Linked DNA regions of Sus scrofa. The protein of the gene in region 4 interacts with the protein of the main gene of each other region in a pairwise test. Links are inferred from orthologs where the notes say so. Each region holds a gene or a part of one and is shown on either strand. Other genes may lie near its edges.

Region 1 (4,008 bases), on a different chromosome or scaffold from region 4:
ATAGAGGGAATTTGTTTCTTTGTGGAGCCTAGAGTTACAAGCCTGTATAATTTTTTTCTGAAAAGTGTCTTTCCAACCAACACAGCTACCCACAAAGGAGCTGGACATAGTTATCTCAGAGGCAGAAGCAAAGTTCACGTACAGGAGAGACATTTTTTTTTTTTTCTTCTCTAACCATTAAGCAGTGTCACCTTTGGAGCAAACTGCTCTCCTCTTGAGAGATGACATGTCACAGTCATCATTTTTGGAAAGCAGGTGCCAGGTGGAAGAGAGATTCGATTTGCGATTTGCGGGAGTGTCAGCTAAGCCAGTACCCTCCCCACTCCTTCCTTCTTTCACTGAGGTTTTGACAGTGGCTGAGCTGAACCTGCCTTGTAAACTCCCACAGGCTCTTTATTCTGACGTGTGCTCTTTCGCAGGAGGCATGCTACCATAGGTGTTTCAAGGTTTTTCTCTACCAGGAAGAAAGTTTTTATTCTCCTCAAGCTCTTATATTTTCATTTCACGATGTTTTACTTGTATGTCCACCAAACCTGCAGAATTGGGGGTTTAAGAACCAGCAGAACTTAGACTGGTTAGAGTCAAAAGAATTTTGCCTTGTGGCCAATAGCATCCCCCATCCTAACATGAAGACTTTTATATTTTCTGTTCTCGACCCCCTTCTCCCTTCTATGTTTCTCCTCTTCTCTCTCTCTTCCCCTCCCCTCGCACAACACTTTCAAAGAGTGCCCTAAACGGTGACAAACTTGCACGTGCTTCCTTTATGACTAACCACTGGGCCTCTGGCCAACCCCCTACAGATGGTCCCAAACATCAGACACCCCGTTAGGAGAGCCCCACGTTTGCAAGCCGGCTTGGAACGGCCAGGGCAGAGAAGCGTGGTGGGGAGTGGCGGTGTCTTAGTCCTCTGGGAAGGCGGTGCAGCTTCCAGGAGGAAACGGGCGTTTCCTTCCCACGCGCTAGCCGAGCCCTGGGTCCTGGCCTCGGGCCTCCACCCAGCCCCTCCCGGCGCTCTGGGAAAAGCCAGTCGCCACACACAGGCACACGCAGGCCCCGGGGCCGCGCCCTAAGGAGAGCGGCACCCAAGGCCAATTGCCATGGCAACCCCGGGTTCGTTCCATTCCCACCCCGCCGATCCCCCCCGCCTCCTGCCTGAGCTGCAGCCAACCGGCTTGTGCGCGTCCCAGGAGCGCGCTATAAAACCTGCGCGGTGGCGCTGGGGAGAGCCGAGCCCGACCTGGAGCGGGACGAGCAGAGCCAATCTCAGACCTGGAAAGTCTTGTGAAAGCGGCAGGACAAAGCCTGAACATGCAGAGAGCGCAGAGCCTGCGCCTCGGTCTGCCCAAGCGGTGCCTCTGCCTGGCTTTCCTGCTCCTCCATCTCCTGGGACAGGTGAGTGGCGCACCCGTAAGGTGTCTTTCTGGGCGGCCCCCGCTCAGTCCCCAGGCGGCTCTGCCTTTGGTCCCCAGGTGGCTCTGCGAGGTTTCTCCTTCTGGTCTCGCCTACCTCCAGGTCGCTGCGACTCAGCGCTGCCCTCCCTCGTGTCCGGCCCCCTGCCCCAAGAAGCCGCCGACCTGCGCCCCCGGGGTGAGAGCGGTCCTGGACGACTGCTCCTGCTGCCTGGTGTGCGCCCGCCAGCGCGGTGAGAGCTGCTCGGTGATGCTGCCTTGCGAGGAGAGCCGCGGTCTCTTCTGCGACCGCCGAGCCGACCCCAGCGCCCAGACCGGCATCTGCATGGGTAACCTTGCCCGCTCCGCTGCCTGACCTCCTGTCCCTCGCCCAGCGAAGCTGCCCGCTCTTCCCTCTCCCCTTCCTCCCGCTCCCCAGCCGGTGATGCGCAAATACTAATTACGGGATGCAGTGGGTGATGTTCACGGAGCTGTGTGCGCCAGCCTTGGTCTGGGGGCGCTTGGGGTCTTTGGAGAACGCCAGAAGCTGGGAACAAAACCTGCCGGCGGAAGGGGGAAGCGTTCATTACTTGCCTCCCCAGAGAAGAATCTAGAGAGACAGGGAGCAGAGCCCAGTGAGGGACCAGTGAAGTCATTTCCTTTGGACGTTTCCAGGGGACGCTTGGGGGTGATGGAAGCATGGGCTTACTCATATGCTTACAGCCCCCCCAACGGGAGCCGGCCAGGTTTGTTTTCACACCTGTAATTGCCCCGTTTCAGCCAAGCTGTCCCTCCTCTCCTGGAACAACTGTGTAAGCCCTGCCTGGGTTGCGAGCAAAATAAAAATGCAGGCAACAAGCCCATCCAGGCTGGTGAAACTTAATCAATCGGGGATCAATTTTTCACACGGTGCACCATTTAGTTGGAGGTCATCCCTGCCTCCCTGGATAAGAGGGCTTGGAAGAACCTTTCAGTTCCTTCTCTAAATTAGTGATTTATTGTACTGGAATGCCAAGGAATCCTAACCACCTTACCAGTGTGACCAGTTAACCTGTTGGGAGCCCCCCATTTTTCTTTTTTAATTCTGAGCTTCTGGAGCAGAAGAATCTAAGGAGGTTCTTCAAAAAAAAAAAAAAAAAACTATTACTGGGAAGAGCAGCTGCGGGGCCTGGGGAGTTTCACTTCACCATTGGGCCCCTCTTTCTTCATCCATAAACTAAATGGCAGGACTGGGTGGTTTGAGCGTTTCTTTTGCCTCTGGGAGGCCTCCATGAGGACATCTCTCTTGGGGTGATGGATCAGCAACCAGATGGCCCCAACAAGGAAAAGAATGATCTGAGGTTTGGAACACGTGCTGTGGGTCGTATATAGCTTCTCCAGTGCACTGTTCTAGATTTTCTCTCTCCCTCGCTTCCCCAATATTCTAGCAATAGAAGGAGACAACTGTGTGTTTGACGGAGTCATCTACCAAAGTGGAGAGACCTTCCAGCCCAGCTGCAAATACCAGTGCGCCTGTCAAGATGGACAGGTTGGCTGTGTGCCCCGCTGTGAGGAGGACCTGCTACTGCCCCAGCCCGACTGCCCAGCTCCGAGAAAAGTCAAAGTGCCCGGGGAGTGCTGTGAAAAGTGGATCTGTGACTCAAATGAGACGGGGACCTTAGGGGACCTCCAAACCCTTCCAGGTGAGAAATTCAGAAGACCTAAAAAATGCTCACAGCACAGGAATCAAGACAGGCAGGAAGCAGGCATGCTCTTTGGGGTGTGCAGTGAGAAACTGGCTTCAGTTTCTGGCCGTTCAGTTGTTGAGTCCAGCTTGCCCACTGAGATCAAACCCACGGTGGAATCCCAGCCAAGTTATGGGAGTACACACCCAGTCTCTCCTGAAGAAGAAGGTGGTTCTTTTGAGCCACAGGACTGATTCTGTCTTATTGCATGACTACTATTTATATTTGAATCAATCCCTCTTGGTCCCTATTTTTTAATGATTTTTATTTTTTCCATTATAGTTGCTTTACAGTGTTCTGTCAATTTTCTACTGTACAGCAAAGTGACACAGTCATGTATATATATATATATATATTATATATATATAATGTACATATATTCTTTTTCTCACATTATCCTCCATCATGTTCCATCACAAATGACTAGATATAGTTCCCTGTGCTGTACAGCAGGATCTCATTGCTTATCCACTCCAAATGCAATAGTTTGCATTTATTAACCCCAGACTCCCAGTCCATCCCACTCTCTCCCCCTTGGCAACTACAAGTCTGTTCTCCAAGTCCATGAGTTTCTTTTCTGTGGAAAGGTTATTTGTGCCCAATATTAGATTCCAGATATACCACTTGATCCTTACTAACGCTGATTGCAAAGATGTGCTTTGGCAACTTCATGCAGAACATATAGTTGATTTAGCTCATATATATGTGGCAAGTGTCAATTCATTGGGCCATTTAGGCCATTTGCAAAGGGCCTGGCAATGTCTCTTTCTTTTCTGCATTTTGTACACTACCTATGCACTCTCAAGACCAGCCTCCCTAAAGAATGCCGCTCATCCCTGGACAGGTGTCAGAGAAATATCACCTTTCCAGATACTGCAGGAAGTGACATTTCAAGA
Region 2 (4,078 bases), on a different chromosome or scaffold from region 4:
ATACCACAGCCACAGCAAGGGGGGATCCCAGATGCATCTGCAAACTACACGACAGCTTAAGGCAATGCCAGATCCTCAACCCGCTGAGCCAGGCCAGGGATTGAACCCGTGTCCTCATGGATAATAGTCAGGTTTGTTCAACCACTGAGCTAGGATGGGAACTCCTCCTTCCTCTTTTCTTGACTAACTGTGCTCATTTTCTTGAACCATTACCAGTAGGAGGTTTTTGTTGTTTCCCCCTGTCCTAATTGCCCCACTTTGTACTTTCTCAGCTACTGCAATCTGCAATGACCCATCTAAACTGGTGGGAAGTGAACACTACATTTGGTGAACATTATGGCCAGCACTGAGTCAGGTATGACCACCCTTACTAGCTCTCACAGTGTATGCTCCTTATCCTGAACGCTCTCAGGAGCCACTCCTGCCCCTGATCTATTTGTATGCCTGGGCGGCTTATTGATTATGAAGCCAAGTACCCAGCGTGACCCTTACTTAGGCCTTTGTTGGTGGCCTAGACCAATAAGCAGAATCCATTAAACTCTTCCTCTGCTTCCCTTTTTCCTTTCGTTTCCTGGGAGGAGCTTAAGGAAGGGAAAGGTAGGCCCTAAGGTCTTAGGGGATAAGAGGTTATGGTTGATGAAGAAGCTTGGGCAGGAAAATGCATCTTCTAATCCAGAATCCAGAGACATTATCAATTTTGTTTCATGGCATGACTTCGATGAGCTTTCTTGTAAGGAAAAACAAAACAAAACATTAGCATCACTGGCATCACATATTGGACAATTTTTAAGGTGGTGATGGGACAAGGTGTTTGAATTTGGACAGTTTTGAAAAATCTTGTATTATAGTGGACAAAAATATTTGCAGTCTGTGTGTTGGGTTCCTCAAATTGGAAAAGTAAAGACTCTGGTACTCATCACAGACTAAAAAATACTGACGAAAAGTGAGATTTGATTTTTAGATAAACTGGCAACCGCATGCACAATAAATTCTCTATTCCGGCCAGGGTTTTTATTCTTAGTTGTTCTGGTTAGAGAGTACTTTAGGGAACTAAGGGCCCCTCTGGACACTCAGCTCTCTTTCTGAGTCACGGTCAATGGCACCAGCCCTTAGGCACAGTCCTCTAGCCGGTCGGCGACCCCTCTTCTGGAGGGCGGGGCCGCGTCGGGGGGCGGGGGGAGCGCGAGCCCAAGACACCCTCGTTGGGTGGAAGTGGGGGAAGGCGACCTTTGGGAGCGCGCGAGGCCTCACGTGCGCGCTCCCGCGCCGCCTGCCTGCGCGCTCGCGCGCCCACGCGTCCGCCCGCCCGCCCGCACTCCCGGGAAGTCTCGCGATGTCGTAGCCGGGTGCTCCCGCTGCGGGTGGCTCTGGCTGTTGCTGTGGTTGCCTGAGTTGCTGCTGCGGCGGCGGCGGCGGCGGCGGCGGCGGCGGCGGCGGTACTGGTGGAGGTGTCGGCCCTTGGGCGGATGTTGACATTGTGTTGTTGTTGTTGCTGACGGTAATGGCGGCGGCGGCGGCGACGGCCGGGACCCCATCTCCTCTGTAGCCGAAGCCAAGACAATCCAGAGCGAACTCCGCGGCCTCGGAGCCCGCGGCAGCGACTCCGCTCAGCCTCGGCTGCCTCGCCAGCCCGTATCCCGGCCGCAGCCCCTGGAGTCAGGCCCCTTCGGGCGGGGGGCCGCGGAGGCTCAGGATGGCGGATTTCGACGAGATCTACGAGGAGGAAGAAGACGAGGAGCGGGCCCTGGAGGAGCAGCTGCTCAAGTACTCGCCGGACCCGGTGGTGGTCCGCGGCTCCGGTCACGTCACCGTGTAAGGCCCGGAGGAGGGCGAGGGCGAGGGCGGGAGGTGCAGGGCTGGGGCGGCCCCCGTGCTCCGTGGGGGCTCTTTCTCCCTGGGGTCTGTCTGGTGTCGGAGGCCTGCGGGAGGAGTAGGCGAGCAGGAAGTGAGAACTTGCTTTATTTTCATTTGTTGCGGTCTCCAGAGTGGAGCCAGACACTGCCCTGCCTCCCCCCGCTGCCTTCTTAGCAGGCCCTACGGGCCTGGGCGCTGTGTCGGATCCCAGGAGGGAAGGTTATTCCTTAGGGTCTGCCCTTCCGGCCACCCTTTCGGCCTCGGGGTGGAAATCCACGTATTTCTGAGGCGCCTCCCCCTTGTTTTCTCATCCTGTTACCCTGTGGCTCTCTGTCTCCTCGTCTGTGCGGTTGAGCATAGTGACATATGGCTCAGAGGCCGGATCTGGGCCAGGTGAGACCCGAGTGACAGTGTGGGTCATGAGTAGTTCGTTGTCCCTATGTTTGTATTTCACACACACCCACAGGTCTTCCCAGTCTCTTGCAGAGTCAGTTTCTGCGGATCGAATGCAAGTTCCTGTAATTGTATATGATAAAAAAATGTATAGATGAGCATATATTTTTAAGATGCAGAATGATTAGGTTTACAGATAATTTTTTAAAAAACTACGTGATGGGCACACAATGCCCAGTGAGGGTTTCTGTTATCTAAGTCCTTCTTTTGGGCAAGAGCTCCTGGGTGGCTTCTTCTTTTGATAAGGGTTCCCGTAAAGTCCCATTGGCAACCTATAAAAGGCTGATATTGTTCAAACAATAAGGAAGGAGAGCTTTCTGAAAGGTCATGACTAATAAAGGAATGTGAAGACTTGAACCAAATAATGAGCTGTCCGGAAGCAGGAAGTTTTGTAATGTTTCTCTGAGAAGTCCAGAGTTTTGTACAACTTGAAGTATTTATACTTTTTCATTTTAGGTCTCTTGTTCAAATCCTAGATCAAACTTCACACTTGTCAGATATCTCCACACTCCACCTTTTTAGTAAAACTAAAGGGCCAGCACGTCTAAGACTGCCTGGAACACTTTTCATTATATTTTTGGTTTAGGGTGAGTGGGGTGTGCAGTGAATAACTTTTGGTGAAACAGTAAGACTTCTCATTGAAGACTGTCAGCAAAATCCTGGCATTTCTCAATACATGATGTGACCAACCATGCTGTTGTTTGGGTGTGCTTATGTAATGCTTTGATTTCTTTAGCACCTGTTAGTTTATATTCAGATGACTTAACAGGGTAAAAACACTGCACAATCACTGTCACAGAGCCATGAAAGGACAATGGAATTTATGGCCACAATAACTGTTACTTAGTTTTTTAACTGTCATCAGCAGCCACATTAAGAAATAGAACCACATATTTGGATATTAAATCTTTCTTTAACAGATATCATAGCCCACCATTTAATTTTTATTTTTTTAGGACCTTTTTACATTGTTTTAAACCTAAGGAGTTGTAGGGGTGCTTAAAGAAGGGCTTTTCAAATTTTATCATATGTGCCCACTCCTCCTCTTACATTCCTCATGTCAAAGAAGAACCAGAAAAATTTTATTTAAAAAGGTGCAGCTATAGATATAATGTTTCCGCTGTTGAAGGAAAAAAGCTAAGTACTTGTTGGGCATAATGGAAAATATAATAGGTGAGGTGCTCAGAACCAATGGATGATTTGATTTTGGTTGGCTGCTGAGAGGGGTTAACAGAGTGGGAGAGAATAATAACCACTAATTAAGTGGTTTTCAATCTCATTTGTCCATTAGAATCACCTGGGGAGATTTAAACACACACCCTTCCTTTGCCACGGGTCAGGCTGCTTGAAAGCCAAGTATCTGAGCGAAAGTTCCAGGCTTGGTTCGTTTTTTTAAAAAGTTCCACAGGTGATTCAAATATGTATCCAGGATTGAAACCCACTATTCCAGAGCATAAGAGGAACTATATGCCAACGCTGAACGGTATGCCTTTCTACGTGGGGACTTAATGTTTCTATGAGCTCCCTCCTCAACTTCTCTTTCTTTCCTGTTACCTTGGCGCTAGGCTCTGGGTTCAAGATGGACCCTTTGCCACTTCTTGGGTAAATTATCTACGCCTCTTCATTTAAGATGGGGATAGTTACAGTTTCTAGCTTTTAAGATTATTAAGGATTGATGTTCCCTGGTGGCCTGGCGTTTAAGGGTTTGGTGTTGTCATTGCTGTGGCTTGGGTTCAATCTGTGAGTCCAGGAGCTTCCATATGCCTCGGGT
Region 3 (4,205 bases), on a different chromosome or scaffold from region 4:
CTGCACAGCAGGGCCCCACTGGTCAACCCCTCCGAATGCAACAGTTAAAACACGGAACACTTCAGGACTTTGCATGTCATCCTTGCTCCGGGGCCACACTGATCTTCTTTATATCATTCCAATTTGAGTATATGTGCTCTGGAAGCGAGCACCGTTCCTGTTCTTTATAACAAGAGAATCTGGCCATTAGAGCTCTTTGGCGTCCAGCTCCATGGGGGCTGAGAACCATCTGAGAACCATGGTTTCCGAGAACCGTCCCTGTTTCTGCCCTGGTTGTAGGGCTCTCACTTTTCAGGGCTGTGTCCTGCTCCACGCTGACTGGCCAGTGTTCTCACCCTGCTGCTGGTGAGGCTGGGCCCTTCCCAGTTGGAAGCTCTTATGAACTGTGCTGCAGTGAACCCTCTGCTGCATGCCCTTCTGTCTCTGGAGCACAGACACGTGTATGCCTTTCTGCTGGGTGTAAACTGGGGTAAGACTGCTGGGTCAGGCGACATCTACACTTGGCTAATGTCATGTGGGTCTCATTCCATGGCTCCTCATCTTCCCCTGCCCACATTTTGTTTTTGTTATTCTTTTAAACAGTCTACAGACTAAATCGTCCTCAGTAACCATTGACTGGTGGCAGTCATGAATCGCTACACAAAGAGGTGGCTCTTGCAGGTCCAGCTCCAAGGCTGTTTCCTCGTCAGCCAAAGGAATCGCTTTTCCCTCGAGCTTGGGAGTTGGGGGTTCATCACACTCACCGGTGTTGGGATGTTGGTTGATGGCGTCTGTCTGCGGCAGGACTAACTGGGGGTCCCCTGAGGGCAGGGCCGGTACGCAGCCCAGGACACACCGGGGGCAGCCACCGACTCGCAGAACCCTGGGAGCCGGCGCGCAGGGAGATCGAGAGCGGGAAACGAGCAGGCAGTGCGTTCGGGGTGGGGGTGGGGGTTCTTTGGGGACCGGAGCCTCCCCTTACTCCCCCCCCCAAAAAACGCTCTTCCTACCCACGGGCCCCCCGCCGCCCCGGGCCCCCTCCCCCGCCCTGCCCGCAGAGTTGGGCGGAGCTAACCTTTGCTACCCAGCCCGCCCACGGGGGGGGGGAGGGGATCGAGTTTCACCCGAGCCCTGGGCGGGGGATGAGGGGGGTTGAGGGGGGATGAGGGGGGATGAGGGGGGATGAGGGGGGTGGGGGTGCTACGCTCCGAAAGCGCCCCCCTTCGCCACTCCCCACAGGGAGCAGTTCGAGGGTCCCTGCTCTCTCCCCGGCCCTGGGCCCGCGCGCTGCTGGGGCGGGGCGGGGGGACGCCAGGAGGGAGGGGGCCCCGAGGTCCCGGGCGGGGAGCGGTCGAGGGGGAGGGGGAGCGGGCGCCCCCTGGCCCCGCCTCCGCCGCGCCCTCCTCCGGGGCGGGATAATTGAACCGCGCGGCCGGGGCCCTGCGTTGGCTGCGGAGGCTCGGCCGGAGCTCGGAGCCCGCGCTGCCCGCCCGCCGCCCCCGCGCCTTTGTCCGCTCCGCCGCCCGCCGCCCCATGGAGCGCGCCGCCCCGTCGCGCCGGGTCCCGCTGCCGCTGCTGCTGCTTGGCGGCCTCTCGCTGCTGGCGGCCCCAGGTAGGGGCGCTGGGGGAGGGGGGCGTCGGGAGGGAAGCGGGGGGAGGCGCCCCGAGTCGACGGCTGCGGCTCGAGGGTCTCTCCCACCCCCGGACCGCCCGGCCCCGCGTCCCGTGGGAGTTTTGGAGCTGCGGGCGCCCCCTCGGCGGCCCGGGGGCGGGGGGATGTTGGAGTTGCGCCTCGCCGGGCCCAGGCGACGTTCCCCCCTCGACGCGTCTCCTGGCTTCCATCCTGATCGCCTCACTGACTTGGGGACGTGTTTTAAAGACGGAGCCCTCCAAACACATCCTTCTGCCCACCCGCCCACTGGGGCCAAGGCGGGCGGGGGGCGAGGAAGCGCTGCCTGGTGGCTGCCAAGCACCCTGGTGCCCCGTTCCTTGCACCTGGAGTGCCCTGGCACACACTTGTTCCCCACCCTGCTGGGGGCTCCATACCCAGCTTGCTAATGAGAAAACCGGGGCGGCGGCGGGGGGCGGGGGACGGGGAACAAGAGACAAAACCAGTCATGGACGGAGTAGGGGCTGGACGTGAACTCAGAAAGGAGGGGAGGAGCCTGGAAGTGTTCAGGGTGATGATGGCTGCCAGGGGGGAGACCCCCGCCTACCCTTTTGGGGCACAGGGGGCCCCAAAACAGAGGTTCTGCCAGGATCCATGCTCAGCTGTGGCTGGGAACAGGCCACTTCCAAACCCACCCACCTGGTGACAGTGGGTTGCCAGGGCATCTCCACTAGCGGACCCAGGCCCAGAGCCCCCAGCCTGGAGACCGACGGCGCTGGGCTCACAAGCACCCGCCCATCCTTCTTTCTTCCTTAATCCTCCAGGCCGAGCTCCTGGAGCTCCTGGACCGCAAGGCCCTGCAGATCACAGCCATGACCTCTGACTTTTCTGCGACCCTTGGCTCAACAGTCGTTAGCCAGGCCAGCCTTTCTGGGGCCAGGCCCAGATAAGAGCCCCGAACATCACCCTCGGAATTCCAGATTCTTTATCTCTGGCTTAGTTGAGTTTCTTTTCAACTCTCAGGTGACCTCCCTCCTCCTCTGTCAAAGGTCACTTGTCCCAGGTAATGCTCGCCAGGGATTCAGGGTTCCCCGCCAGGGATTCAGGTTCCCTGAGAGCCAGGGATTCAGGGCTCCCTGAGAGGCAGGCGGGGGCAGGGAGAGCTCTGCAGAGGTTTCTTGGCTCCCCTGCTCCCTGCAGCCAACCCTCACTGAGCTCTGGCTGTTCTAGGCATCGATGCCATCCTGGGCAGGTCCTAGGGGACATCTCGTGGGGGCTGGGGAGGGGGGGGTCGGGCAGGCTGCTCTTCTTGGCCGCAAGAACCATCCCTGGCCCTGGGGCTTATAGGAGGTTTCTTGGAGAAAGTGGTGTTTGAGCAGGAGCTGGTCAGGCAGGCGGGGAAGGAAGCAAATTCAGGTGACCGCCGGCTGCAGTGAAAGTCTAGAGGGGCTTCAGACTGGGGGTCACGCAAACCCCTATTGGAAACGGGAGGGCCCCCAAACTCCCTGTAATTTACACACAAGGGAACCGCGGCCCAGAGAGAAGACATAGTGGAACTTTCCCGAGCCCAGGTCCCCAGATCCTCCATGGCTGTTCTTTTCTGCCCACTGTGGGATAAGAGTGGCCTGCAGCCTGGCCGTGTGCAGCTTCGAAGGAGACTCGCTTGGCTGGAGTGGCTCCCCGGCCTGCCTGATGGTTTTGCAACCAGCTTCTTCAAAGGGAAGGGCCTAACCTGAAGTGTGTGAAAGAAACTTCTTAATTGCACACCGATGAGACCCCATGTGGCCCTTTGGGGGCTGGGGGAGGTCCCTCTTCTGAATTTCAATAAGTTTAGTGTGGTTTGGGGTGAGGGAGTCAGAAGTCTGCCTGCTTCCGTCCTGTGCCTGCGAGCTCAGAGCTGCAAGGTGCCCTGAAGCCTGCTAAGGTCCAGGGTGACACTGTCCCCACCCTCTGTCCCAGAGCCCTGGGGTCCGAGAGGAAACATGCAGTTTAAAAGTGATCTTGGAAAAGGCCTTGACGGCGAGCCTGTGAGCTGATCTGCTCAACTCGTTTGGTGACCCGGCCACAGACACAGAAGGGCCCTGGACTTTGGTGCCGAGGGACAGAGGTGGAACCACGGGTCTGTCTGTCCTGCCTCCGTCCGTCCATCCTGCTGGGCTTTCCTGAGCGCCGGGCTGGGAGGGGGAAAGACGGGTTGTGTTTTTCCTCCAAGACTTTCTTGGCCTGTGGCTCCAGCCGGGCAGCCTTTCCGACTGATTACAGAGAGGAGAACAAAGGGGCGAGGACTTGGCTTGAAACACGCGGCTGCGCCCCTGCGGCTCCTGGAAGTTTCCCAGTCGGGGGGCGACGGGGCGGATGGGCTGAGGTGGGGGTAGGGGGTGGCTGGAGCGCCCTGGCCTCTCCTGTGGGGCCACCACTCCTGGTCACACACCCCCTCCTGGCACTGCCTGAGGCCACCCCAACTCAGGCCACATTTGCTGCCCTGATGATGTGTGTGTTTTGGGGGGGAGCGTGGTTCCCTCACCTTGGGGACCCAGCAGGCTGCCAGGGCCGTTGGTGGGATGGCTAAGAACCTTGTCATCCCAGGGGTGGTCTGGCGGGTTTCTCATCTGTAAAG
Region 4 (4,211 bases):
CAGGACTCCTGTCCTGGGATGACGCTCAGATTTGCACGTGTCTCTCTAGGGAAGGACTTGAAGGTTCACACAGGGAACCACACAGCCAGTTTACAAAAGGGAGGAGGTGTTGTTGGGGAAGAAGAAAATGTCCTGTCCACCATCAGCCATCTGTCCACTGCCCCTCCCACCTGCCAGCCCCCACCCCCACTTCAGCTGTGCAGTAGAATGGGGGGGGGGTGGATGAAGGAAGCTCTAGCACGCCTAACATTCGCCTCCAGGAAACGAGAAACGTTTCTGGGGGTGGCGGGGTGGGAGGGGAGGTGGAGGGGGAGTTCATCGTACTTCACTGTGGTCTCGCCCTTTGAGGCCCAGGTCGGTGTACACAGGCTCCTGGGTCCTAGGGAGCCGGCAGATGGCCTGCAGCGCACGGCCCGGCCCCCACGCTGGCCACGTCGGCTAGCGTCATCTCTCTCCCCCGCCTCCTACCCCTCAAAATCCGGCAGCAGAGTTGCTCCGGATCCCGCAGGGCTCCCAGAACAGAGCTGAGTGGGGAGGAGAAAGGGGCGGAGAGCGAGGAGAGAGGGAGGGCGAAGAGCCGGGCCACCCCCGGCCTTTTCCGGCAAGCTTAGCTCCCAAGGTTCACCCGTTCCCGAGCATCGAATTACAGCAGCTCCCCGTTGCCACGCTAACAGCTCGTGGGGGTGGGGGAGGAACGGGGGCTTCAAGACCCTACAGGGAGAGGGAAGTTTCCTTTCTTGCGCTTGTCCCCTCCACGCCCACTCGGGTTCCCCCAGCCAGCCCTCTGCGCACTTCCCTCTCCTTCCGGAGACCTGGTGGTGGCCCAGCCTCGTCCCCCGCCACCGTTCTCGGCTCTCCTCACTGCCCCCAAGGCATCACAGAAGGGACGGCAGTGAAAGCGCCCGGGGAGCGACCCTTCCAGTTCCTCGCGTTCCGGGCTCAGCCAGTGTGCAAGTGGCGGCCCAGCGAGCTCCCTCCCACTGACTCCCGACCCAAGAGAGCGCGGAGCCCTCTTGGCGTCTCACCTCTTGCCAGTTCCTCTTTCTGTGCACGGTGGGGAGGGGGGCGGTGACCGAGGATGGCTCTCAGCCCCCACCTCCCGGAGGGGGGCGATCGGAGTCGGCCACTCGCAGAAGGCAGCCCCTGCTCCCCTTCGCCCCAACGCTGGGAATCTGCCCCTGCAGCCGCCGCAGCTGCTGCTGCCGCCCGGGCTGCCTGGGGGGGCGACTGCGCGTCACCTAGACTGAGGAGCGCCGGGGATTTAAATGCCACTGAAAGGGTGATCCATCACCGCAGGAGCCAGCAAACTTTCGCAGGAGGCTCCGCCATTGGCTGAGAGAGTCACGTGCCCCTCCCCTAGCGCCCTCCGCCCTCCCGCCCCCCCTCTTGCGCACTGTACATTCATATCATTTTTCTTCTCCGGCCCCATGGAGGAAGTGAGAAAGTTGGCACGGTCACTCAGGGCTTCGCAGGACCCGGTCACTCAGTGACAGATGGACAATGCAAGAATGAGCTCCTTCCTGGAATACCCCATCCTCAGCGGTGGCGACTCGGGGACCTGCTCAGCGCGAGCCTACCCCTCCGACCATGGAATTACAACTTTCCAGTCGTGCGCGGTCAGTGCCAATAGCTGTGGCGGCGACGACCGCTTCCTAGTGGGCAGGGGGGTGCAGATCAGCCCGCCCCACCACCACCACCACCACCACCACCATCACCACCCCCAGCCGGCCACCTACCAGACTCCTGGGAACCTGGGGGTGTCCTACTCCCACTCGAGTTGTGGTCCAAGCTACGGCGCGCAGAACTTTGGCGCGCCTTACAGCTCCTACGCGTTAAATCAGGAAGCAGAAGTAAGTGGTGGGTACCCCACGTGCGCTCCCGCTGTTTACTCTGGAAATCTCTCATCTCCCATGGTCCAGCATCACCACCACCACCAGGGTTATGCCGGGGGCGCGGTGGGCTCGCCTCAATATATTCACCACTCATATGGACAAGAGCATCAGAGCCTGGCCCTGGCCACGTATAATAACTCCTTGTCCCCTCTCCACGCCAGCCACCAAGAAGCCTGCCGCTCCCCTGCATCAGAGACGTCTTCTCCAGCGCAGACATTTGACTGGATGAAAGTCAAAAGGAACCCTCCCAAAACAGGTCAGTCTTGCCCTTCCATGAATGATCCTTGATTATTCAGGAAGGAGCCGGTATGCTTAGTTTCCAAGGAAAATTAATCAAGGTTTTGTTTTGTTTTTTTCTTTAAAATTCTTGCTTCCCACCGGTGTTGTAGGGTGTTGGGAGGCTGCCCAGGTGTGGTTGGCACAAAGGAACATCTGGGATTGTTGTGTTTCCAAGGGGGCTGAGTTTTAGAGGTTTTGGAAGTAGGACGTGGGAAAGTGGGTAGGTGTGTATGTGTGTGTTAATATCTCCAGGCTCCATTAATCACTGGTCTGACCATGCTAATGGGTGACTTCAGATGAACGCTTTACACCTCATCACTCACCCTCCCAAGCCCGGCTTGTGTTGAGAAATTCTTGATTCCCCCTTTGCCTGAATCTTGCTCTGAAGCCTACAGGGACTCTCATATCGAATATAAATTTTTTCCCCTTTTTTCCCCATCGCTTCCCCTTGCCCTCAGGGAAAGTTGGCGAGTACGGCTACGTGGGTCAGCCCAACGCGGTGCGGACCAACTTCACCACCAAGCAGCTCACGGAGCTGGAGAAGGAGTTTCACTTCAATAAGTACCTGACGCGGGCCCGCAGGGTGGAGATCGCCGCGTCCTTGCAGCTCAATGAGACCCAGGTGAAGATCTGGTTCCAGAACCGCCGAATGAAGCAGAAGAAACGAGAGAAGGAGGGCCTCTTGCCCATCTCTCCAGCCACCCCACCGGGCAGTGAGGAGAAGGCCGAGGAATCCTCCGAGAAGTCCAGCTCCTCGCCCTGCGTTCCTTCCCCGGGGTCTGCTACCTCAGACACTCTACCTACCTCCCACTGAGGCCGCCCCAGCCCCAGACTCGACTCTTCCGGCTGGGACTTCTTTCCCAAAGCACATTCTTAGCTTATCTTCCTGTCCATTTACAATCTCTCTCTTCCTCTCTGATCCTATCTGGGGAACTCCTGGCCAGGATACTGTGTTTCCAGTGAATTCTGGATTAGAGACTGGTGTGGGGGCAGGGGAGTGCTAGCTCCGCAATGCAAATTGAGTGCCAACATCAATTTTCTCAAGGCCCCTAACGCCCCTAGTTTTAGGAGATTTCTTTGACAGACCCTACAGTTCCTTTCAGATGCCCTTTGGAAAATAGTCTCCTTTGCCAGCAGAAACATGTCAGAGGGAGGCCTCTCATCTTATATCTAACCGTGTATTTACAGTTCTCCCCTACTCTGCCCTTAAAGTAGGATAGAGAGAGAAGAGAGTCCAGGAGCTCATGAGGAAGAGATGCACTATGAGCGTGTTTACACAATTAATTCACCCCTTAATTTAACTCAGTTTCATGTGTGTGAGTCTGCTGGTTGTAAATACTTTGTCCTGAAAGATTTATCTTTATACAGATTTTCTAGAAATGTTTAGATTAAGGGATGAAAATAGGGTGGGCAAACTCTCTAAGCTGGTACAACTTTGTATGTGATTATAGGTTAAAGACTAAAAGCTCCCAGTAAAATCAATCAGAGGCCTCAGAGGGTCGCCTCCGTTTGTTCTTTCAGCAAGTTAAGAAAGCCTGCAGCATAAAGGGTCAGAAACCTGGCTCCCTGGGCTGAGTCTCTCCCCATCCCCACGCCTTTCTCCTTTCTCTGGCCACACTCTTTCAAATTTGCGCTGGAGTATTCAGGACCCAAACGTATTATTTCACACCAGCTTCTTCCCTCCACAGTTATTGTAGCTGGATATGATGTATTTTTAGCTCAGTTGTTAATGTGATGGATGGCACAATGAATGTATATTTTGTGTGATTCGTGAATAGTCTTTTGCATGTCGCACAATGTCTTGATGTTCCCGAAGTACCACACTGAGTTTTATCAGTTATCCTTTGTGATAGTTCCCATTTCCTGTACAATCATGAACAGCTCCGAGATCCCAGAAGGATGTGATCCAGAGCAGAGTTTACGGGTCTTAAGATGTCTGTAATAAATATATTCAAGTTTCAGATATGCTTAAGCATCTCTGTGTCTGGCTTGGCTACAATTTGTTGGTCCCTACAAAGTTGGCTCCTTTCCTGTGGGGAA

The links.
Region 1: the proteins of HOXA1 (region 4) and NOV interact in binary tests that used the Homo sapiens proteins (3 or more experiments, as listed by UniProt). The link is inferred for Sus scrofa from reciprocal best matches to the Homo sapiens genes HOXA1 and CCN3.
Region 2: the proteins of HOXA1 (region 4) and CHIC2 interact in binary tests that used the Homo sapiens proteins (3 or more experiments, as listed by UniProt). The two-hybrid records come from large-scale screens. The link is inferred for Sus scrofa from reciprocal best matches to the Homo sapiens genes HOXA1 and CHIC2.
Region 3: the proteins of HOXA1 (region 4) and FBLN1 interact in binary tests that used the Homo sapiens proteins (3 or more experiments, as listed by UniProt). The link is inferred for Sus scrofa from reciprocal best matches to the Homo sapiens genes HOXA1 and FBLN1.

What each region holds. Positions count from the first base shown.
Region 1 is NC_010446.5:19,511,627-19,515,634, reverse strand, and holds the start of NOV (protein NOV homolog), read left to right. Parts: upstream 1-1,153; 5' UTR 1,154-1,308; coding exon 1,309-1,392; intron 1,393-1,512; coding exon 1,513-1,738; intron 1,739-2,815; coding exon 2,816-3,070; intron 3,071-4,008. UniProt on the Homo sapiens protein: Immediate-early protein playing a role in various cellular processes including proliferation, adhesion, migration, differentiation and survival. Acts by binding to integrins or membrane receptors such as NOTCH1.
Region 2 is NC_010450.4:40,843,912-40,847,989, reverse strand, and holds the start of CHIC2 (cysteine-rich hydrophobic domain-containing protein 2), read left to right. Parts: upstream 1-1,274; 5' UTR 1,275-1,693; coding exon 1,694-1,812; intron 1,813-4,078.
Region 3 is NC_010447.5:3,924,365-3,928,569, reverse strand, and holds the start of FBLN1 (fibulin-1), read left to right. Parts: upstream 1-1,391; 5' UTR 1,392-1,512; coding exon 1,513-1,591; intron 1,592-4,205. UniProt on the Homo sapiens protein: Incorporated into fibronectin-containing matrix fibers. May play a role in cell adhesion and migration along protein fibers within the extracellular matrix (ECM).
Region 4 is NC_010460.4:45,476,167-45,480,377, forward strand, and holds HOXA1 (homeobox protein Hox-A1), read left to right. Parts: upstream 1-1,394; 5' UTR 1,395-1,493; coding exon 1,494-2,148; intron 2,149-2,629; coding exon 2,630-2,985; 3' UTR 2,986-4,140; downstream 4,141-4,211. UniProt on the Homo sapiens protein: Sequence-specific transcription factor. Regulates multiple developmental processes including brainstem, inner and outer ear, abducens nerve and cardiovascular development and morphogenesis as well as cognition and behavior.